3 linked regions of the Drosophila melanogaster genome follow. The protein of the gene in region 1 interacts with the protein of each later gene in a pairwise test. Each region holds a gene or a part of one and is shown on either strand. Other genes may lie near its edges.

What was found.
Region 2: the proteins of eIF4E1 (region 1) and eIF4G2 interact in a two-hybrid assay, tested with the Drosophila melanogaster proteins (one study listed by BioGRID).
Region 3: the proteins of eIF4E1 (region 1) and me31B interact in binary tests that used the Drosophila melanogaster proteins (3 or more experiments, as listed by UniProt).

What each region holds. Positions count from the first base shown.
Region 1 is NT_037436.4:9,398,153-9,406,147, reverse strand, and holds eIF4E1 (eukaryotic translation initiation factor 4E1), read left to right. Parts: upstream 1-3,687; 5' UTR 3,688-3,844; coding exon of another isoform or gene 3,845-3,868; exon of another isoform or gene 3,869-4,231; intron 4,232-4,342; exon of another isoform or gene 4,343-4,491; intron 4,492-4,541; 5' UTR 4,542-5,051; coding exon 5,052-5,108; intron 5,109-5,194; coding exon 5,195-5,565; intron 5,566-5,629; coding exon 5,630-5,729; intron 5,730-5,963; coding exon 5,964-6,051; intron 6,052-6,114; coding exon 6,115-6,278; 3' UTR 6,279-6,530; downstream 6,531-7,995. Other genes in the region: Cpr67B (cuticular protein 67B), read right to left, coding at 109-858, 1,227-1,259; CG4080 (uncharacterized protein), read left to right, coding at 7,562-7,641. UniProt on the Drosophila melanogaster protein: Recognizes and binds the 7-methylguanosine (m7G)-containing mRNA cap during an early step in the initiation of protein synthesis and facilitates ribosome binding by inducing the unwinding of the mRNAs secondary structures.
Region 2 is NT_033777.3:23,814,691-23,822,357, reverse strand, and holds the start of eIF4G2 (eukaryotic translation initiation factor 4G2), read left to right. Parts: upstream 1-3,120; 5' UTR 3,121-3,377; intron 3,378-3,538; exon of another isoform or gene 3,539-3,746; 5' UTR 3,747-4,131; intron 4,132-5,327; 5' UTR 5,328-5,346; coding exon 5,347-7,117; intron 7,118-7,251; coding exon 7,252-7,389; intron 7,390-7,442; coding exon 7,443-7,667. Other genes in the region: CG34355 (uncharacterized protein), read right to left, coding at 612-828.
Region 3 is NT_033779.5:10,236,138-10,244,219, forward strand, and holds me31B (maternal expression at 31B), read left to right. Parts: upstream 1-3,203; 5' UTR 3,204-3,398; coding exon 3,399-3,448; intron 3,449-3,801; exon of another isoform or gene 3,802-3,947; intron 3,948-4,354; coding exon 4,355-4,454; intron 4,455-4,542; coding exon 4,543-4,921; intron 4,922-4,995; coding exon 4,996-5,643; intron 5,644-5,708; coding exon 5,709-5,911; 3' UTR 5,912-6,035; downstream 6,036-8,082. Other genes in the region: mthl15 (methuselah-like 15), read right to left, coding at 1-149, 238-410, 790-1,708; chico, read right to left, coding at 6,500-8,021, 8,082-8,082. UniProt on the Drosophila melanogaster protein: ATP-dependent RNA helicase which is a core component of a variety of ribonucleoprotein complexes (RNPs) that play critical roles in translational repression and mRNA decapping during embryogenesis, oogenesis, neurogenesis and neurotransmission.

The DNA of each region.
Region 1 (7,995 bases):
TTTCAATAAATATGTGAAAATGTCTTAGCTACTTTCTACAGAACGACCTATACAAGGCGATGCGATGGATCCACCAAATCCATAAGGATCTAGATCAATATCTGAATCTTACTCATCCTTGTTGTTGATGGCACGCAGGCGTTCGAGCTCGGCACGCTCCTCCTTGTTGCGCAACAGGGGGACATTGTAGTCGAAGGCGTAGAAGAAGCCCTTGGGCTCGCCGGTCTCCTCGGGTCCGGGCACATATGGCGGCTCCTCGTGCACGTAGGGCTGGTACTCGGGCTCAGTGGGCTGGTAGCGACCCTCCTGCTGGTACTCGGCGGCATAAGGATCGGGATTGTGGCCAGCGGCGGCGGCCAGCTCACCCCACAGCTTGAAGTGCTCCTCCTCGGCCTTGAGGACAGCCGGAGTCTTAGTGGCCGGCAGTTTAAGGTGTGCCGGACGATTGTCCTCCACATGGAAACCGGTCTTATCAGCATAATAGTTGGCCACAAAGTCACGGCCATGTGGTTGGACATACTTGTACGATCCGGTCACTTTGCCCGTCTCATCGCGCTTCTCGTTCTTGCCCTGGTTCCAATCCCTATAGCCATAGGCAAATTGACCCAAACCATCCTGACCATGATACTGATGGGCATCGTAGTGCTCCTCCACATACTCCTCGGGATGCTCGATCACACGACCCATGTAGACGAACTCTCCCTTCTCGTTGCGCGCCTCGGGCAGGGGATTCTCACCGGTTTTCGGGGCATACTCGATGTCGCCAATGCCACGCAGTTGGGCGCTGTTAAGGAATTGCTGCGCCTCCTCGGGAGTTATGTTGATCTTGAAGATGTTCTCACCGCTGGCTAGTGTGGCCTGAAATGAATTAAGCGTAAAAATAATTAGCAAAATATTAAGACAAACCATTAAAGTGTGACTTGGGTGGTTAGCAGACTTTATGGCCAATTTAACACGCTACACAATTCTCGAGAGATCACAAAAAGAAGGGGTATGATGTCATATCACCATCATCATCATCAGTGATTAAAGTCTCATCTCACATGTAACGCGATGTTTGCTTAATTTTTGCACATTGTATAACTTTCGTATTTGCACTTTACGATCCGGACACATTTGACATTTATAGAGTCACCACAACCCGGACTTTAATTGAATGGATCGGATGGATCTATTCAGAGATGCTCGTAAATATCAGCTTAATTATGCAAATTATCTGCATTTACCAGCAACAGGGCAGCCAAGATGTAGCACTTCATAGTGGATTCGATTTGAAATATGAGTTATATGTGTGGTTTATCCAGGTATCACAACGTGTATTCGCTATTCTCCAGTTGGCGGGCTACTAATAACTGAGTAACCAAAAGGCACTGCTTATATACTAACTTTTTAGATCTACTTGGTATTGTTGTTTTTTGTTTTGCGTTTTGCATAAATCTGAATGAAGATGTGCTGGCTGGCCGACTGTTTCACTGACCAGCAGCAGTCTGAGCTTCACCTGTCCGGTTTCTTACTCAGCTTTAGAATCTCGATTCGCAAAGCCAGTGGCGGCAATTTGAAGTTCATTATCGGCGTCGCTCAAATTCGCACTTCTCACACTCGACTACGGATATATGAATATTTTCGGAGTGATGCGGAGACACCTATGGAAACATTATTAATTGTATGTATGCCGTTTGGTCAATTAGTTATCTAATAGCTTTGTGGTCTACCCATCTATTGTTGACTGCCACAGAACCCTTTTCGAAACGATTCAAGTGGCATTTTCAGCGCTCGTTGGCTGTCAGTTTCGAGTATCTTAAAGATACTTTTTTGACCAATCGGAATTCATTGGTTCAGTAAGCATATTCGGCGACTGGGTGTCTGAAATCTGGTTTCGATCATCTTATCTTGATGGTATAACTAGCATTTAGATACCCATTTTTCTTCATAATTCTTAATTTTATTTGTTGCATAATTTATGAAAATAGTACGAAAAAGTACAATTTTTTATACAGGTTCTGTATAAGTTACAAGGTACCCATTAGTCGAAACCTTATTTATCGAACTTTATAACCTAACCACTTGACTATGATTTATTTACAATTAAGCATCTTTGAGCGCTTCAATTACTTTTTACTTCCAATTAATGCAAAGTATACTGCCTAAGGTTTAACTTTGACTCCGGGTTTCCTGTAGATCGGCGGAAGTTTTTTTGTTTAGACATGCGCCAAGCACTTGAAGTCCGCAATTGACTGCTGCATAATTAGATGCGATGCGATTGGAATAGAGGATGCGATGGGTAATCACATCAACACTTGGACAGGCGATCAAGTGTCAGTTCAATAAGACCGGCTCAAGTGTAATTAGAGACCACGGATCTTGGGTTTCGGGAAGGGATCTTGGGTTTTCGGATCATCGATCCAACGATCGTGCCGAGCTCTTGAAAGCCGCTTATTAGGCATTTACAAGGGCAACTGCGCAGTTGATCGGTTACAAAATGACTTAACTATTTAAATAATAAACACGCTTCACGTTTCTCAGGCTAAGTTCGTAAGCATCTTCAATTTTCGGATTGCGTCTCAACTGCAACAGTCTATTTTGAAAGTCAAGCGTTTCTAAAAGCGCCACATCATCAGCGGTAATATTATCCATCCCTCATAAATATTCCCATGTTGTTTTGGGATCTTTTGGCTATTTTTAAAGCAGACAAAGGCGAGCCAATAATGTGTGGAAAGAATTTTGGTTGGATTCAAATACGAAGCAGCTTTGGTAACAACTAAGGTTCTGGGTTAGTCATGATTCACCAACAGGTTAGACTTAGTTTTGTGGCAAAATTTAACCAATGACGTCCAAGTTCTAACTAAAGTAATATCGTTACTTTGTTATTTTATTTTTGGATATTCTCGAAAGTTTCTGGAATTCTCAAGAAAACTTAAACAATATAGAGTCGCATTATATGGAAAACTCATTGATTCATTCTTATGTTTGTTATTTTGTTATTAAATTCCAATTGATGATGCCAGTGTCTAAATAAAAACGAAGACCTAATTTTCAACCAAAAATCAGGTTTTCTGGGCTTGTCCGTATTAAACATTTTTGATAATTATTTATAATATATTGTTATTTTTTGCTGGCTTCAAAACATCAACAAATTGTGTATGATAAATGACGATGACGTTGTTGTTGATGGCGATCGCGCTGTGGGAATCAGATGAAATGTCAATTAAGTTTGCATTTATATCTTTGATTGAAGCTCTAAGATTTGCTTTGCCATTTTATGCGGAAGTTAAGCTCGGTCAGTTCTTGAAAAAGTTCCCATGGGAGCAAGTTATTTGTTTTTTGACAATAAGAAGCGTTTATTTAAAATGGCTTATTATGGCCTCAATGATTCCTAATAGGCGTAACTTACTGGTTATAAACTTGTTTAATATCGTTTCATTTTAAACCTGGATGACAGAAAATGAATTTCGGTTCAAATACAAATATTACAATAGAAAGTATGATATTTAGCTCCGATAAACATTTAACAATTTTAGTATTTTAATGGTGAAATGGTAAATTCCGCGCATGAAAAGAGATAGAAGAGATGACATATATGGAAACCTTAAAAACGTAACGGTTGCTTGGGTTTTATAACAATCAGTCAGTGACAGGCATTTCCAGAGTTGCCCTGTTCAACAATCGATAGCTGCCTTCGGTCGCTCGTCACTAACTTTCCTTTAGGCAACGGCCACACTGTCTGGCCACCAAAATCCCAAACTTAATTAAAGAATTAAATAATTCGAATAATAATTAAGCCCAGTAACCTACGCAGCTTGAGTGCGTAACCGATATCTAGTATACATTTCGATACATCGAAATCATGGTAGTGTTGGAGACGGAGAAGGTAAGGCGAGAAACGGCGAGCCGCATGGTTTCGATTTCGGCTGAGCCGTGGCAGGAACAACAAAAACAGGGTTGTTGCACAAGAGGGGAGGCGATAGTCGAGCGGAAAAGTGTGCAGTTGGCGTGGCTACATCATCATTGTGTTCACCGATTATTTTTTGCACAATTGCTTAATATTAATTGTACTTGCACGCTATTGTCTACGTCATAGCTATCGCTATCTCTGTCTGTCTCTATCAAGCTATCTCTCTTTCGCGGTCACTCGTTCTCTTTTTCTCTCCTTTCGCATTTGCATACGCATACCACACGTTTTCAGTGTTCTCGCTCTCTCTCTCTTGTCAAGACATCGCGCGCGTGTGTGTGGGTGTGTTCTTCTTTAGCTACATATACATAAATAGGAGAGCGGAGAGACAAATATGGAAAGAATGGAAAAAGAGTGAATTACTGCAATTAACCAGTCGCGAACAGTTAAATCATATTTTTGTCGGCCATTGCAGTAAATAAACCGTTGGCTTTCCCTCTTCACTTTCCACCTCCTTTCTTTGACGTTAATTTTTTTCAGTTAATCGCGCCGCTGCTTTGAACTCGAACACGAATTTTAGCCGCAACATAAAATAAAATCAAGTAACTCTTTTAACTCAAATATAAAACAACAATTCCAATTCTTTCAACAGGCAATCTGTGTTTTTATGTCAGATACGTGCGCGTGTGTGTGTGTGCTGTAATTCCATCGCCCCTTTCGATTCCGAGTTCGTTAGGAACAGCATTAGTTCGCCTATTTTAGTAGTAGCCTAGTCCGATTTTAAGTGAAACAGGATACTCCAACACCATATACTCAATAATTAGTTACAACACCCACTCAACCATACAGCAACAACAAGTTTAACGAGTTTTTTGTATTATCATTACTTAGTTTTTTGGTTAATAATACACAAGTGAAGAGCGAACTGCAGGGGAGCGAGATATCACGAAACAATCCAAAATCCACACACACTCAAACAGAAATCAAAAGCTTCGCTCTCTCGCACACACACGCACCAACCAACTATCAACTATCACAAACACCGCGACAGAGAGAGAGCGGCAAGTGAATCACGGCGAATCGAAACCGATCCGAACCCACTCCGGAGCCGAAAAAGAACTGATCCTACCATCAAACGCATCCAATAAACACGGCCGCCAACATGCAGAGCGACTTTCACAGAATGAAGAACTTTGCCAATCCCAAGTCCATGTTCAAAGTAATACTCTCAGTGCGCCTGTCGCTAAGCCAAGCTAATCTAATCTTCTGATTCCCCTTCCCATCCATTGCCATCTTCTCCCGCAGACCAGCGCCCCCAGCACCGAGCAGGGTCGTCCGGAACCACCAACTTCGGCTGCAGCGCCCGCCGAGGCTAAGGATGTCAAGCCCAAGGAGGACCCACAGGAGACTGGTGAACCAGCAGGCAACACTGCAACCACTACTGCTCCTGCCGGCGACGATGCTGTGCGCACCGAGCATTTATACAAACACCCGCTCATGAATGTCTGGACGCTGTGGTACCTTGAAAACGATCGGTCCAAGTCCTGGGAGGACATGCAAAACGAGATCACCAGCTTCGATACCGTCGAGGACTTCTGGAGCCTATACAACCACATCAAGCCCCCATCAGAGATCAAGCTGGGTAGTGACTACTCGCTATTCAAGAAGAACATTCGGTGGGTTTGCTGTTTATTGCAATTCTGCCAAGATAACCTTTACTAACTGATATCTCATTTGCAGTCCCATGTGGGAGGATGCAGCCAACAAACAGGGCGGTCGTTGGGTCATTACCCTTAACAAAAGCTCCAAGACCGATCTGGATAACCTATGGCTCGATGTGGTAAGTGCACAAAGAAACGAGTGGTGAGCGGATGGTCTATTTATAGTGAATGTACATTCTTGAAATGCAAAAATATAGAAATAGGTGTATGATTTTGCAATATAAATTATAACTTATAGAAAATATCAGCTAAAAATACGCTAGTGCTAGCTTTTGTCTTAGGAACATTCAATAGTGAGCTTATATCATAAATATTTTTCGCATATGAGTAACTACAACTGTTTTGCCTTCCAGCTGCTCTGCCTGATTGGTGAGGCCTTCGATCACTCTGATCAGATCTGCGGCGCTGTTATAAACATTCGCGGCAAGAGCAACAAGATATGTAAGTTTTCACGCACACCCAACTTCAGCGGAATTCCTTTGTTTAACGATTAATGCTTTCCAGCCATCTGGACTGCCGACGGAAACAACGAGGAAGCTGCCCTTGAGATTGGTCACAAGCTGCGCGATGCCCTGCGTCTGGGACGCAACAACTCGCTGCAGTATCAGTTGCACAAGGACACGATGGTCAAGCAGGGCTCCAACGTGAAATCGATCTACACTTTGTAGGCGGCTAATAACTGGCCGCTCCTTATTCGGTCCGATCCCACACTGATTATTTTGTCTTTCATTTATTTATCGTTATAAGCAACAGTAGCGATTAATCGTGACTATTGTCTAAGACCCGCGTAACGAAACCGAAACGGAACCCCCTTTGTTATCAAAAATCGGCATAATATAAAATCTATCCGCTTTTTGTAGTCACTGTCAATAATGGATTAGACGGAAAAGTATATTAATAAAAACCTACATTAAAACCGGATACTTTTGATCTTTGATTTTGGAGATATTTTAAAATAGAAAAAAGTTAACCTATATTGTTTTTGGGATAATTACTTGTTGTATTACTAAAACGAGCTTGTATCCTAATATGGGCACCTAAAGCAAAACTTCCAAATTTGGAATTCAATTTGTTGCTAAAAATACGTTAGCAATTTCTAGGGTGGCCAAAAAAAAATGTGTATCGATATATCGATAGGTTTCCTAAATAGACATTAAAATAATTTTAGCTTTTTACTTATATTGTTAGAGTAAATACGTTTGTATTTAAAAAATAAGTCAGTATTTTTTTTTTATTAACCTATTATTGAATTTTATATGAGTGAGAGCTTTTCCATTCAGCCAAGAACGGTCACACTGCATGTGACATGTTTCAATTGTGTAGGCGCAGTCACACTGGTCGCGTCGCTCGTAGATATCGTGTAAGGATATGTCTCCGTGTTTAGCTAAATAAAATACATAAAATATATGTGCAATTCTAACAAGCATAGCCATTTAGCGTAGAGTAGTGGAACGAACAGCTCGTACCGGGCCAGTAACAACAAATTAACAAGCAAACGCACTAAAGTTTGTCGCGGAATAAAGATATAATAATAGACCAGCTAACCAACACAAACAAACACACACACGGCCAGAAGTTCGTTGGCGTTGAAAGGGAAAAATGAAACGAAATGAAAGGAGAATAACAGTGCAATAGATTCGGTTTACATTGTGCAAAAAATCGAAGTAGCCCCTGCCAACAGGGTCGCTAAAAATAAAGAAGGCGACAGCCTCTGTTTATCGTTGGGAATAAACAAATATATGGCCAGCGGAGGAGAATCATAACAAAGGCGCAAGACTAGCCAGCATAAAAGACAAAGGAGCTCTCCTCCCCCGCGTCCGCCACCCCCCTCCCTTTTTGGGGTTGAAAACCCCCCACGCGTTGCGGTGCAGCATCGCCCCGACTATGCGATACCCTGCAATCGAGTTTATAGTGCTATAGAGAGAGAGAGAGAGAGCGAGTTACGAACAAAATGCCTTGCGACAACGCCAAAACCTCTTCGGATATCGAGCATGTGGATTGGAATTCCGGCCAGCACTATGCGAATGTCAGGTGAGTTTTGAATGCCCTTGATATGGCCAAAAAAAAAGGAATCCTATAAGTTATTCAAGTACACCAAAGAACAAAAAAAAAAGTAAAATAAAGAAAAACGAGAAATAAAATAAAATCAAGTGCAAGCACGCAATTGAAAAATCGTGGGATGGTTGACATTCTTCTTGGCATTGTCCATTGTTTATTTATAGCCAGGAAACGGACATGATTTAAATGTTTGATTGTTCGTCGTTTGGGAAATCACAATAATTAAGTTCTCAACGCAGGCTGCAAGTGCTAAAAATCAATGTGTGTTCTTTGCGCCACAATAAACAAATCCAGCTGTCCATACCGACACGCAGATAAGATATACCT
Region 2 (7,667 bases), on another chromosome or scaffold:
CACTCTTGCCTAAGGCCAAATTCGTCATACTTGTGATCCGGCTTTGGCACTTATTGAGCCATCTGGTGAATGTGCCGACAAGCCACAAGATAGCATTTATCTCAGCATTCTTAATGAATGCCAACAAAAAAAAAAAGCGAAAGTGTTTTGCACGCTGCCTCATCAATAAATTCAATTCGCATGGAAGCTATTCTACCGAAATGTTAAAAATGTTCAAATCCTGTGAATCTTTAAAGTTCAAAGAGAGGATTAAAGTTGGCCTACAGGTCGTATGAGCAATGTTTAATTAAAGTGTCACATAGTAAACAGAAAGGAAATTATTGTGAAGCGCTGTGCAGTCAATAAAGTATAACTTGAGTTGATTTGTAAAACACCCAGGATTACTGAACAAACTCCACTTTTTTTTATTAAATGAATTGGAATGATTTGGAATAAAAATAGACCAGCATTCCCTGCTATTATTATGCGTCTTCTTTCCGATTCTGCAGTATTAATTGGTGACCTTTCCGCTCCTAATATGTGACCCCTCGCTGTCCGTTGGCACCCACACAGAGACACTTCGAAGGACACCCACGGGACACACGAATGGAGGATGGGTGCCACTCACTTACCTTGACAGACGTGGCATTGCAGGAGCACTGCAACAGCAGCAACAATAGCGAGCTGCGACCATGTGATGATGATGGGTAATCCGTGGGCAATCGGCGTGCTCGTCCTTGTCGATGGTTTTATTGTTGCTACTGCTGCTGATGGGGCTTCCGCTTGTCCCTGACGACGCGTTTTCCACGAGGTGGTTTCCCTGACCAACCTGCTCGCTTTCCTCCACATTTTCGGCTGGGCGATTGAAACAAAAGGCGGAATCAAAGCAAAAGTAATTTCGTTGGCTCCCAAATTTTTCCACTCGTATCGAACTTTTGGATGCCTCGACGGTTACCAGAATCCTGCGCTTGCGTGCGTGGGTGAGAATGCCCGGGGTTTTGGTTTTTCGGGCACAGGTGCTTCCAGGCCGGGGGTGGGGCTTAGGTGGGAGTTCGGAATTCCGCGCTTCGACCTTGTTTCAGATTAGGTTTTCTTAATTTTGGTGGGTTTCCTTTAAGCCAGCCAAAGAGCTTGGCGGCAAAGTGTAGTAATCCGTAGTCCTTGGCGAAGTCCTTGTTTCGAGGTCTCAAAGTGCTCTATATACACACATTGCTTCGCTATATATATACATTTATCTGTATGTACTGTCGGTTGGTTATTAATTTTCTGTTTACTTTTTGTATGTTTTAACTTGTAACTTATAGTTGCATAACATTTGCTTTTTGCATTTGCAAACAATGCAATTTACGAATACCGCACTTATGAATTTCTTTTAGAAATTTCTCTAATTATTGCACAATTTTCACATTAACATTTATGGTAGTCGAGCTTATACGCGATTTACTTTGAGTAAATCTTGTGTTTGGTTTTATTTTAATTGATTGTGTTAAATAAACGGTAAAAAAGAAACGAAAAAGTTTTATTTTGGGCTATGCCCATTCTCGTTTTAACGGGTTTTCAGTTCGCGCACTATTTTTATTCGTTTCTACATGGATGCCAAAATTATATGAGTAATATAAGAGTTGATTTCGTAACCGGCTCAGGTGCAGTAGTCGCAGTCGGTTGCAATTTCAGTTTGGTGCATTCTCTTCTTGTTGTGCAGAATTTTTCAGCGCCAAAGTGGAGGAAAGTGATGCGGGAAAAAAGCGTTACGCGCGTCAGGGCGAATCAAGCTTCGGACTTAGTGTGACCGCAGCGGGAGTAAAGGAATTCGCTTTTGGTGTGGCTGCACTCGCGTCCCCGAAAGATACCATGCGGTGCTGAAAGAAATACCAAATTAAATCATTATGGGTTCAAAATATACCAAAAAGCAGAGGCTTTTTTTTTAAGGGGGATTCAATTAATAAGTATACTTTTAAATAAATTAATAAGATGTAAGACGATATTATCTTTGAAAAATGTATAAAATTTAAATAAAACTTTAAAAATCGTATCTTTTTGATCCAAATTTCGGAAAGTGTTGCAATTTCATTTTCGAATTGTATTGTCAAAACCTGCCGCTCAGGTAGCGCACTCAGCGACCGTTATATTCAAAATGTTTGTGCTGAGAGCAAAATTATTGAAAAAAAGTAAGAGCCTCGTCCATTTACTCATCTGTTGTCCTCACACTATCTTTAGTGCAACCGCAAAGGCCACAAAAACATGACAGTACGCACAGGAAAACAAGCATTGCAAATGACTTCACAACTGAAATGGAAAAAAAAAAATGCAAAATACGGACAGTCCGTATGCGGTTTCGTTGTGCCAAGTTAAAATATTTGCATTTGCGGTCTAGTCTTTTTGCATTTTCAACCACCAAATAATCCCTTCAGACTCTGTTTGTGGGCTCTATGTGTATATAATTTTTTTAGGCTGCAATAAGGCTCCGAGTTCATTCTTGCACTCGTTTTACTTTAAAGTTTTGGCCATAGTGTATACTGAGATAAGGAGTAATAAGTAGAGAAGGGTATAGCATTGGAAAAACGGATACTAGAGGGAGGTGAGGGCGCAGAGTAAAGGATTATGTGGGAAGTGGAGGGCGTTGCGCATCCGGCAAAACAGAAAGAGCAAAACTTTTACTACAAGCGCGTAAACACTGCAATTTCTGCACGAGGGGTAGTCTAAGAGCATTAAGGGGAGGCAATCCGGAAGTTGCGAATGGAATGGAAACAGGATTCTGCGCATATGCTGTCCTACGAATGCGTAAATTATGAATATATCATTCAAATTAAAATGTAAAGTTAGAATAAACAATAATAACAGCGAAATATGTGTGGAATTTATATGATATTCTGCGTCATGCACCACAATGCGCATTATATAATAATTGTTATTATAACACCTGCATAAGGCCTATTTTTCTATTTCGAAAGAATGATTATTCTTATGATGAAGAACGTTCAAAATATTACGCGCCAAGCTTGAATCCAAGTTCTCCACCCCGGTTTGAGGACGCACTAAAATGTATAATATTCCTGCGGGATATTTCTGGAACTTTCACAATCGATATTCGCTGCGTAGACATCGATGCTGCCGCCATCGAGTTATGTTCCATCCCTACGTGCAACGGTCACTCTTATTTCATCAAACGAAACGGACGTGTTTCTGCAGACTATTTACATTACAAAATTGTTTGTAACAGATAGTGAGCCGTGTATACATAACGAGGTGAAGCAGACGATGCACTAATGTAAAGGCGCAGTGCCAGAGCAACTTTTTGGCGTGTTCCCCGCGTGGAACTGCATTTTTTTTTGTTTCCTTCCTCAGTTTTGTGTGTGGAGTGCGAGCGAGAGAGCGTGCTAGCGAGCAGGAGCAGAACGGTAAGTACTGGCGGCCAGACAGAGACAGAGAGAGCGCAAAAAAAGAGCGAACGGCAAAAAGTCAAAACGGTAAAAAAACATAAACCAACGCCTCGCCTTTTCGGGGAAAAGTATTACCTGAAAATCTGAAAAAGGTTAAAAACCTACAAAAAGTCCCCTTGCCATTAGTGTCAAATTACGAATTGGCACTTGGCTGCCCATTTCTCATTCTCAATCCGGGGCTGAGGCTGCTCAGCTGGACAAGGAGAGGGAATAAATTCGTAGCAGGCGCTGCTTTGGTGTTCATATTCATCATATTGTAATTTTGATTCCTCGCAATTGCAAAATTTAAGCATACGTTTTAACTTCCTCTAACGCCTTTAATTACAGAACAAATTACCGTGAAATTTTAGCACTAGCCGTACGTTATTTTGTATATTTGTACGCATGTACGTGTACGTGCCCCTCGTCCGTCTGCACAAATGCAGATGTGCATGTGCATCACAGTGAATTGGAGTATTTTTATACATGGAATATCTGAGCTATTGTAGTATTCCGGATAGAGCCAACAACCACAAAGACGAGGAGTTTCCACGAGAAATAGGAAAAAGGAACGGAGGAGCAAATAAGCAGCAGCAGGAGGAGGCGTAGAGCTTGACCAGGTGTCAAGGGAAGCCGGATAGGCTTAAAGGCAGGTCTACCTTAGGAACTAAGAAATAGGATAAATCGAATACCCTTATAATCATCACATCTACCAATCGAAGCACAGGAAGCGGTAAGTTTCGAAATCTGACTTACAACTTACTCCCATTCTAGTATTTGCTTGCTTTTTCACGCAATTTACATTAATTGTTTGTTTATTAGTTTAATAACACACTACTACTACTATAACACACTGCCTCCAGTACGAATGCACTCCCAATAAGCGATCGCGATCCCATTTAGAGCAGCACCCACACACTCCAACTGGTTTTGTTTACAAACAAACATGAAACAAGTGAGCCTATCTGCCAGCCAGGTTTTCGTTTTCCTCGCCATGGAGTGAAAAGAGCCATGCACGTACTTCGTCTGCTGGAAAACTGGTTTTCTTCTGGCTTGAAGGTGCTTGGCCGCAAACTGCAGCGGAGTTGGTTTTTCTAGGCCAGCAGAGAGCTCCAAAGAGAACACCACAGTGAATATTGGCCAATGTTTGTCTTCATATTCTTATCAATCAGCATTGAACGCTTGCTTAGCAAAACAACAATGAAATTCCGTTTGGTAGTATTATAACTAAAAGAAATCATATCGTAAACAGTTTTAAGTGATCTAGTTCTTGCGGTCTCCACTGTGCCGATGGAAGTGCTGACGGAATGCCAAACTGGTTGTAGCCATAAAGACGACAGCAGCCCATAGCTCACCTCCTACGCTCGCTGGCAGCTGCTTCTTTGTGGCTGCCTTTGTTTTGTTCCGCTTTAAGGCCAGTACTGACTAATAGCGCCACTTGTTACCGTGTGTCACCTATGTACAAGTATTTAGGCTGCGCAAGTGACTAGTCCATTGATAAAACCGGCGCGATAAGGTGTCGAGCCATCTTCGAAAGCATTTTGGATGTATACACGCCCCGCGAGTGACATCATACACCACATTCCAATTAAAGAGCTCAATTGATTGAAATATTAAAGAATAAAGAAAAGGGTAAAAGAGGGAGTGCATTTGTAAAATAGCCCTTAGTCATAAGATGTAAACACATAATTTGCATGATCATTTTTGGTTGCTTTTGCACACGTTTGATTTAACTCTCATTCGCATGTACTCACGGCTTTGACTGAAAACCTAATACGCCAAGCATTTTCCACATCGCCAACTCCATTTTCACTTTCATTTCCATCTTACTAACATTACGATTTGTACATCTGTTTTGCTCTGGCCGCGGTTTTCCTAACTCTCCGTGTGTGCCTGTGCGTGTGACGGTGCGATTGTATGCGTGTGCAGATCCTTCGAAGGTCCTCCTATGTTCCCTCAACAGGGAGGGGGTGGGAAGGGAACCAGGCCACAGTCGACACATCAGCAGAACCACAACCATCAAGCCCAGCATCACCAGGCGACGCACTCGCACCACCATCACCTCCAGCAACAGCAGGAGCAGCAGCAGTCCCACGCAGTGTTCGTCCCGAACCACAGCGGCCTGCACCACCACCAGCAGCAGCACTTACTGCAACAGCAGCAGCAGCAACACCAACAACAAGCAGCCGTCGCCGCCGCTCATCTTCAGCAACACATCCAACAGCAACAACAGCAGCAGGTGCAAGCCCAGGCCCAGGCGCACCACCAGCCGGTCATCTTCTACAATACCCAGCCGTCCTACGCCGCGCATTCCGCGGCGGTTAACAACAGTGCCAACGGCGGCGGCGCTACCCTCCAACTGAGCGCCGCCGCCAGTTCCAACACGTTGGGACATCCTCTTACTGGTGGTCACCATGGTGGAGCAAATGGCGTGGCGCCGGGGTCAAACATGCCTCGTGCCCTGAGCAACCCAACTCTACCACCCCACTTTCAACAATCAGCTGGCCTGATCGCACCTGCCGGCGGAAATGCGGGTGGACCCTACATTTCCGCCACCTATATACCAATTAATCAGACCGGACCTCTGATGGGCATGCAGCCAGCTGTGACCTTTCCCACTAACGGAGCGGCTGGAGCTTCATTCTATGCGGCTGCGCCACCTCCTCCACAACAGAAACAGCTTCCTCCCACTGCTCAACAACAAGGTCCAGGCGGGGCACCGGGAGCTGCTCAAACGCCGACACTAGCTTACTACCAACTTGGGCCGAACGCTCAAAACTCTGCTGGAAACAACGTGGTTAGTGGTGCCAATACACATCGCGGCAATATGCGCGGAGGGCAAAGATCTACTCCCACCGCCCAACATACCAACTACTTTACCGCATATACCATGGCCCCAGGAAATGCCCAACGTCCCGCTCCGACAAATGTGGCTCCAATGATGAACTCGCGCAGCGGTGCACTGAACGGAGCTGCTGCTTTTCATCATCTGCCGCACAACTTTGGCATTCCCAGTTTGGCATTGGGACCGCCCGCCGGGATGACGACCCCTATTTTGGCTCCGGCTGGAATGCAGGCGCCGCCACCCCAACCACCAGGCGGGCTGCACACATTTGCTCCGCACTTGCAGAGCAACAGCGCCACCACCTTACCTAGTGTCCCAAGTGTGACTGGAGTTCCCGCGGTGGCCAGTGGTTTTTCAACCACCTCGCTTCCAACTCCGTCAGTAACAACAGCACCGCAACTGGGGGCCAACAGCGATAAGGTATGCAAGCGCAAATACGCCATTCCCATCATCCATCCTGACACCATGGAGAATGTGATGGATGGATGGAAAAGATCGGTTTTTATAAAAAAGGACTCAAACTCGACACTAACACAGCACACAGATCTGGACACAGCTCTGGATGACAATAGTACCTTGTGCCTGTACCAGGCGCCCACTCTGATGGACTCTGGCTCGGGGTCATCGTTATTGTCTGGCGCAATGGTAGATCAGCAGATGCAGACTGTGAAGCCGGCGAGTTCCCTTAAGCAGTCCGTTTCCTTGGAAAAGGTGCCAGAAGCGGTGTACTGCAAAGACGCTGTCGGTCAGGACGTACACCCATCGCCTCCACCCAAATCAACGGATAAAGATCAGATCAGCGTAATTGTAAAAGACATACTAGCCCACTCGGGCAACGCAGAAGACCATCTAAGCTTCTGGCAATATAGTGACGGTGAGTTCATAAAAACGTCCAAATTTTCTTTAGAATTGTATTTGTAAACGAAGGGAAGCATCTCAATATCGTTGAAATGTTGAATTGAAGTTAGCCGGGCTTCAAGTGTCAAAGTCTAATGATTCCTCTTGCAGTGGACAATGTCACGGAGACCCACAATAGCCTGCCGCTAGTACAGTCGGACTTGCCCGATACAACCGATACGTGCCAGCAGCCAGTGCTTTTCCAAGAGCAAGCCAAAAAGCAACGTCCCAAATTGGCCAACAAACAAAGTATGTTCCGTGACAATTAATCCATTAACGTCGACTAAATTGTTTGCTCACAGGTACAGCTACGCCAGCATCCATAGCGAATGACGTAGCTGAGGCAGCAGCCAGCGGTTGCCCAGGCGTCTCCATCCTGTCCAGAGGCCAGTCGATGGTAACACCAGCTGGCCCCTCGACACCCCCGCCACCTTCGCGTGTCGCCCAGCAGAAGTCGACCAAGTCGATAGTTACCACAGCTGTAGCTGCGTCGGTTAAGCCAACAACGGGTTCACCCAACAGGAAGT
Region 3 (8,082 bases), on another chromosome or scaffold:
GGCAGGTTTCTCAATTTGGCAATTGAAATGTAGACAATCAGTGTGAGTGCATAGAAGCAGCAGGATATGAGCAGGCCAATGGGATACATCTTGAAGCGAATCCTGTCGCCGGTCACCACCTTATTATCAAAGCACAAAAATGTATACAGCTGCTCTGAAAGGAACGAAGGCAAATAATTAGGATTATACAAGACACTACTGTATAAAATATGTCGATTTAAATAGGAAGGAGTTTACCTTTTGATTGGGTCTGACCCGTTCCACGCAGTACTGAGTATTCGTATAGGTTTTGAATGTGTTATGAATGATAAGCGAGCCATTGGACGGATTTATCGTATGCGAATCGTCTGGAAAATTATCAGGATCCAAGCGAAACTTTGGGCACTGCAAGCCGTGAACAATACCGAAATCTGAAAAGTATTGAATACAATACACTATACAATCTGACCTATGTCAATGAAAAGGCAAATGTGTCATTCACTTGTTGATTAACCAGATAAGAAAATTTGACAAAAATAATTAAAATGACAAAGCTAATGAAAAATGTCAATACTAATGAATGACGTAGATAACTTCAATAGCGAAATTTGCTTGGCACTTGAAACCAATTGTTTATACCACTTATTTGATCAGACAAATGGAAAACATCAAAATCGATTGCTTCCAATTCTTAATAATATTTTTGATCATTAAGTTTACGACTTTAATGGGCGATTACTGCGTTCAATTGCCGCTCGTTTCCTGCTATAAAGACCTATAAAAATAACTGCAAAACTGGTGACGACATACCTGAGGGCTTTGAGAAGTTTGCGTTGATATTTAGGTTCTGAAAACCCTCAAATTTGAAATCGGTTCCATCGATCTTGCAATAGGTACTGAAATTTCCTTTTGCATACATTTCACCTTCGGCACAACAACGACGAATACAGGGTATTTTTTGGCAAATTTTCATTTCCTGACAAGCACGCACCAGAAACTTCTGTTCCGGTAATGCACCTCTATCCAAATCCGCATCGTCGGAGTCGTGAATAGCTTCGATGCAAAACTTGGAGCTGGGCAAACTGTTGGTTCCATCTTTCCAAATCAACGAATTATTATGAAAGTGCACTTTTCCGGAGGACAACGTATATTCCACGAGTGCTCTGTGGTCGGAACAGTTTAGGGTGTTATCAAAAAATATAATTGGACTGCTGATGATGGAAGTATAAACAAAGAAATCGCTTTCGCCCGGTTTGCATGTATTATTTTCGGAAACGTAAATAAATCCCTGTGGGCAGCACTTGTTTACAAATCCAACACTTTGAGACGGCACATTCTTTTCGAATTCACAAGATAAAACGATGAGACGTCTGTTTAATAGTCCAATGCATGAGTTATTTCGCAAATTCAAGGTGCGTTCACCTAAATCACTTATACTCAGACTGCTAAAGTTCTGGCACTTTGATAGTGCGAATTGGCTGTGGCCTGAGTCATTGATAGCCTTTTCTAATCCAAGGCCCATTGGTGGTATCAATTTGCCTATCACTTGGGCAAGATCCGGAAGTTCACTGATGTTGCTTGCGGCGGAAGCGCACTGGTATATTTCCGCATTGTCCACAGTGCGGCGATATTTGAATAGTAACGAATTCGCGGCACAGCATAACTGAACGGCGAGCACTTTTGAAATGCCACTTAAAATCAGGCACACTAAACTTAGTCCGATGTTCATTGTTTACGGCTCGTCTATTATACCCAATGACCGATTTGCGAGCTTGTGTAATGTTTGTATCTTTTCTTAGAACGGACTTTTCATATCTTATCATTGAGGAATCGTTATCGGACCATATACACTTCGAACCGCATGCAGTTGCCGGATTTAACGAACTGAACTGAAGTCTTCGCGATTCCTTCGCGAGCAAATGCGAATGTTTATGGGTAAACATTTGGCCCGCACACAGACGGACATAGCTCGACGTATATAGGCAATACATTTATGGATTCTCGTAAGCCTATACAAATAAGTTATGCCCCATGGAGTGCCTAACACTTAGCATGCTGGGGGTGCTCACGGATGGTATCAATACACCCAAATGGCCGCATATTTATGTAGGTACTTTGTGGTTCTAACACATATCTATCTATCTACACAATTCAATTGATGACTTTGTACACTAGCTTCTGACGGCAAGACAAATGCGACTGCTCGTGTTAACATTGTGCAAAGCTCATTAAGGGGAAATTGATAAGGTACACAGATACACACATCCATACACACTTATGTACAGAGGTGGGTGAGGTAAGCAATGGATCCTTTAATCGTCTAAGTACTCTACGCACCATAAATCACCTGGAAAATGTCAACGATACGCAAGTATTTATCTTTTCAATTAACTTAAGTCTAGTTATTAGCTGACTTTTTTCCATATATTCTTTCATGACACAAACTAAAATCGCAAACATAAATGTCATTTTTATAATATACAAATCTCCTCTATCGCAAGTACTATTTATTTATTCTAATACAAATATATTAATTTTGTCATTCTCCAATCGGAATAAGTATAAATAAAGTATAAATCCATTGGTTAAGAAAAGAAAAATCAAAAAAATAATTTTTATTCATTTTAATGTTATTAGTTAGTTTCTAATGTGATCTTTCATTAAATATTTAATACTTATAAATTATAAATGAAAAGATATTCATAAAAATCGCAGACAATCAAATTAAAGCTTAACTCAGATGTTCTTCTTTCATACACGTTCGAAATCTTCCTGTCGTTCCTAAGTCCCGTTCACACAGGCAGCTGCTTCATCTGAAATGCAGTTCATATATTGTTTTTGTTATAATTAAACGGTGATTTTAACCCGGCCGGAGTGGAGTTGCTCATTGGAAATGCTTTTCTAAATTAATTTAAATTTAAAATAACGGCAACAGCAGCTAACACAACAAAAATGTGAAATATTTGGGTATACATATACACCTACAGGATTTATAAGAGGAAAATTTAAATGCCGATTTTTTTTAAATAAAATAATTCTTGCCTAAATATGTGGACTAATTTTAAAACGTTCATTTGTTTTTGTTAAGCCATGTATAAATTTCTACAATATTATTGTTCGTCATTTTGAACTTGCAAAATTTGTTTCATTCCAACGTTCCAAATCAGGGCAATACATATTTATTATCTACACCGAGTGAAAATATTTTCCGAGTCATCAGAAATTTGTATTATTGATAGCATGTTGTAAGGCGACTCGACTATTTTGAAGCTAAGTGAAATTTTATATTGAAACGCAAAGTTGAATACGTGAGCAGTATATGAAAATCGGTGAATACAGTGACTTCATTAGTCAGCCGAAAGCAAAAGAGAGCGAAATACATTTTTTAAACAAACTAAACTAAAATTTCACTGTGAATAATGATGACTGAAAAGTTAAATTCTGGGCACACTAATTTAACAAGCAAGGGGTTTGTATATTTTATATTTATTTATATTTTTTTTTTCACAAGAGGACCCAAGCTTGGTGTCCCAACAAACATAATATGCATGCGTATTCATCAGCCCATATTTATGATTAGATGCCGAAAAGACAAGCCGTTTTATAGTTTAGAACGTCAATTTTTGCAAATGATTGAGCATGTAAAAGCCGAAGATCTGTATTTTAGCAACATCATGTAGTTAGGCTGTTTTCACTCAACAACTAAACCTGCAGAACATGTTATCTAATGAAAAAAACCAAACAATGTGATTCCCGTATTTATATTACTTTATTGTATGTAGTAGCGGAACATGTGTACATATGTATAAAAGAGTTATCTACATATGTAGTTGCACTCGTGGACTTATTTACCGCTAAAAATGTTGCTAAATATAATTGCACTGACTTAAATCATTTAGAAACTAACACTGTATTTAGGTAAAACTTCTATTGGGTGATTCTCAACTTTTGAGATCAGAACAAAACAGGTATTTTTTTTTTGCATTTCAGCGCCATGAACAGTTATTCGTGGGCTGCCATTTTAAAATTTGGAGTAGCGTTTCTTTTTCTCTCCTCCATAAATGTGCGAAAGAGAAAAAATGTTGAGTTCAATCGCTTTTAGATTGTTCAGTTCTTAAATATTCAAGACATTATCCATCTTTGTTTACGATTTAAAATCAATATTAACATTATTATTAATATACATTAATACATGGCTTAGACTTTAGCTTAAAATGCACTTTACATAAAAGAACTCATTTACAAAATTTTAAAAATCAAAAATTTTTAATATATATATATGCTTATATATGCCATCCATATATATATGGATGTGAATGACCTACATATATCGTAATACTTTAATTACCATTTTATTTTTTTTCTTTTCATCCAGGATTATAAATGATCTTCAAATTGCTGGAAACACAAGTGACGATATGGGCTGGAAATCAAAGCTGAAGCTGCCGCCAAAGGACAACCGATTCAAAACAACTGTGAGTTTGCCGACAAATCAATCGGAATTTATACAATTTAAAGCACAAACAAACTAACAAATAAATGTATTGCCATTGCCTTACTCAGGATGTGACCGATACGCGAGGCAATGAATTCGAGGAGTTTTGCCTTAAAAGAGAACTGCTTATGGGTATATTCGAGAAGGGATGGGAGCGCCCTTCGCCAATTCAGGAAGCAGCTATTCCTATAGCATTAAGTGGAAAAGATGTGCTGGCTCGGGCCAAGAACGGCACAGGCAAGACAGGAGCCTACTGCATCCCAGTTTTAGAACAAATCGACCCAACCAAGGACTACATTCAGGCACTTGTGATGGTCCCCACCCGAGAGTTGGCGCTACAAACCTCACAGATATGTATTGAGCTGGCGAAACATCTTGATATCCGGGTAATGGTCACAACGGGAGGTACCATTCTAAAGGATGACATTCTTCGTATTTATCAAAAAGGTGGGTTTTGATGATAGTTAAATAACCTAATATCGGTTTAATTGCAACTTTCTAAATTTTCCCTACGCCTGCAGTACAATTAATTATTGCCACTCCCGGACGAATATTAGATCTGATGGATAAGAAAGTTGCCGATATGTCGCATTGCAGAATATTAGTTTTGGATGAGGCCGATAAGCTATTGTCGCTTGATTTTCAAGGCATGCTGGATCATGTTATACTAAAGTTACCAAAGGATCCACAGATCTTGCTATTTTCCGCAACATTTCCACTAACAGTCAAGAATTTCATGGAGAAGCATTTACGCGAGCCTTACGAGATCAACCTGATGGAGGAGCTAACACTGAAGGGTGTCACTCAGTACTATGCATTCGTACAGGAGCGCCAGAAAGTACACTGCTTGAATACGCTCTTTTCGAAGCTGCAGATCAATCAGTCTATCATATTCTGCAATTCCACGCAACGTGTCGAGCTATTGGCCAAAAAGATCACAGAGCTTGGATATTGCTGTTACTATATACACGCTAAGATGGCCCAGGCACACAGAAATCGAGTATTCCACGATTTCCGCCAAGGACTCTGTCGCAATCTGGTGTGCTCCGACCTGTTCACCCGTGGTATCGACGTGCAGGCCGTGAATGTAGTAATCAATTTCGATTTCCCACGAATGGCAGAGACATACTTGCATCGAATTGGTCGCTCAGGACGTTTCGGTCATTTGGGTGAGTTTAATTGCATTCTCATATTATAGTTTAGCCTATTTACAATCTTCGTTTCTCATTTTAAGGTATTGCTATTAATCTGATAACCTACGAGGATCGGTTTGATCTGCATCGGATTGAAAAAGAACTTGGAACCGAAATAAAGCCTATTCCGAAGGTCATAGACCCCGCCCTTTATGTCGCAAACGTTGGCGCATCCGTTGGCGATACTTGCAACAACAGTGATCTGAATAATTCTGCGAACGAGGAGGGCAACGTTAGCAAATAAAACGGATATGCCCTGTGTAACGCTAGTATCTGAAATAGAGTCTAAATCGTGGAATCAATAAAAACAGATGAACTATTTCAGAAATCAAAATTGTATTAAATAAATGGAAAGCAATTCAATTTTTAAATGCGCTCTTAAGATAACTGAAATGACTGGTCTATAAAAAAAAGGCTCGTTCACTTTGTGGGTTTTGGTGCTGAGAAGTATTAACATTAACTATTGGGGATTTGGTAAGGAAAGTTAGTCGAATGCTATTAAAAGGCAGGCTAAGGTCGTTTAATATCAATCCAGTTTTTAGTAAAGGGTTTAAATCAAATAAAAGGTCTAAAAGTAATTACAGGATTTTCGGACAAGAGAAGTACACTTGGATCAAGCTAAATCCTAGATTTACTTACATGGAAGAATTACCATTGGCAATTACCCGATTTACTAGATTCCAAAAAAAAAGTACAAAGGGATCATTATAATTTAAATAAAATTTATTTATTAGCATCCAAAATTGTAAGCTTTGCTTGTCAGAATATTTACAATAAATGTACAATATTAAACAAATCATATATATAGGATAGGGTCATAAATTTCAAAACTTTACGTATTAAATATGTTCGATGAGGAGGAAGAGGAGTCGGATTGGTCAAAGTCGATTTTCGCATAGGTATTCCCATCCTCCGGGCATGCGGACACCGGCGGCGATTCGCGTGATCCTCTCTTCAGGTATTTAGCTGGATTTTGGCCACTGCAATGGGGAAGATCTAGGCTGGCGTAGTGCAGCTCCGGCTGGGATATGCGAGACGACGACCTTGAGGGGAAATTCAAATCTTTAATCTGTAGAATGTTCTGTGGTGTACTTGGATCTGTGCCAGTGCTACGCGAATCGGCGGCGGCGGCTGGCTTTGCTGAATTTATATTGAATTTGGTGAGTGAGCTGCTGCTCACCGCGGTGGCGGTGGCATTATCGGGAATCGTATTCACACTCTCTGTAAGTCTCTGCGAACGCTCCAAGTTATCCTTGTGTATACCCTTTTGGTATAGCTTCGATGAGATGAGTGAGCTGTCGCTTTTAATTTGCAGAATTTTGTAGCCGGCTTCGTTAAATTTTGTGAAATCATTCGATTTGTCCTTGATTTGTGTGTAGTCTTCGCTGCTTATCGAATGAACCAACTTCTTTTCCTCATGCCCGCCTATATCCAAATTGTTGTTCTCGACAATCTTGTCGGCCAGATGATTATTTAGCTTATCGCTGCTCTGCGCGCACACTTTCTCGCAATCAATTTGATTTGCTGAATGAACATCATGGCTTTTGCTTGTACTCTCGACATTTGTGGGTTTCGAGCTAAAGGTGTTGTCATTCAATGGCGAGTTCGACTTCTTTTCCTCGCTTCTGCTGGGCTGTTCTCTCCATTTCTCAGCGGATATATTGTATGTGCTAATTTTGTTTAAATCGTGCACTGGTGCGGCTGTTGCGGTGAGTGGCGGTGCTGTCTGATAGTCGGATAGCTTGAGTTTCTCCACTTTCATTGGCAGGCAATTCGAACTGGGAGTGTATCCATTACCGACTGGCTTCATCTCGAGGTAACCATCCTCGGATGTGATCGCAGTGTTATTTAGTTTGGTGCCATTGAAAATGTCCTTTTGACTTGTGGCGTGCAGAGTTAGGCTGGAGCTATCCGTTCGCGGGGCTTTTGGGAACACGTTTTCAATGTATTTCGGAATTTCATTATTCTTGATGAACTTCTGCTTTTCCAAATTGGTTGCTTGTGAAAAATCAATTTCCATTAAGTCACTCATTCGGTCGGAGTTTATCTGGTTCTTCAGACTGAGGAGTGGAGCACTTGTGGACTTCTTTTGTCGATTGGCACTGCTGCCATAGCTGGTTCCTTCCTTGGTAATGCTACTCTGACTCCTATTCGCTGTGAACTCATGTTTATTGTCCTCCACGAGGACCACTCGCTGCAGGTCGCAGCGCGGTATCTTCGATTTGGAGCCAACCGAGTAGGCTCGCACGCGATTCGGATTCTGTCCCGTATCATTCAAGTGTCCCAGGCGCTTATTAAACTTTAAATGCTCAACCTTGTTGCCTATCGAATAGGCGCGAATGGGACGACAGCATCTGTAACAAGATGTGATTGATTGCATTACGTGGCACAGTTGAAGCGAAATGTGTACTCACT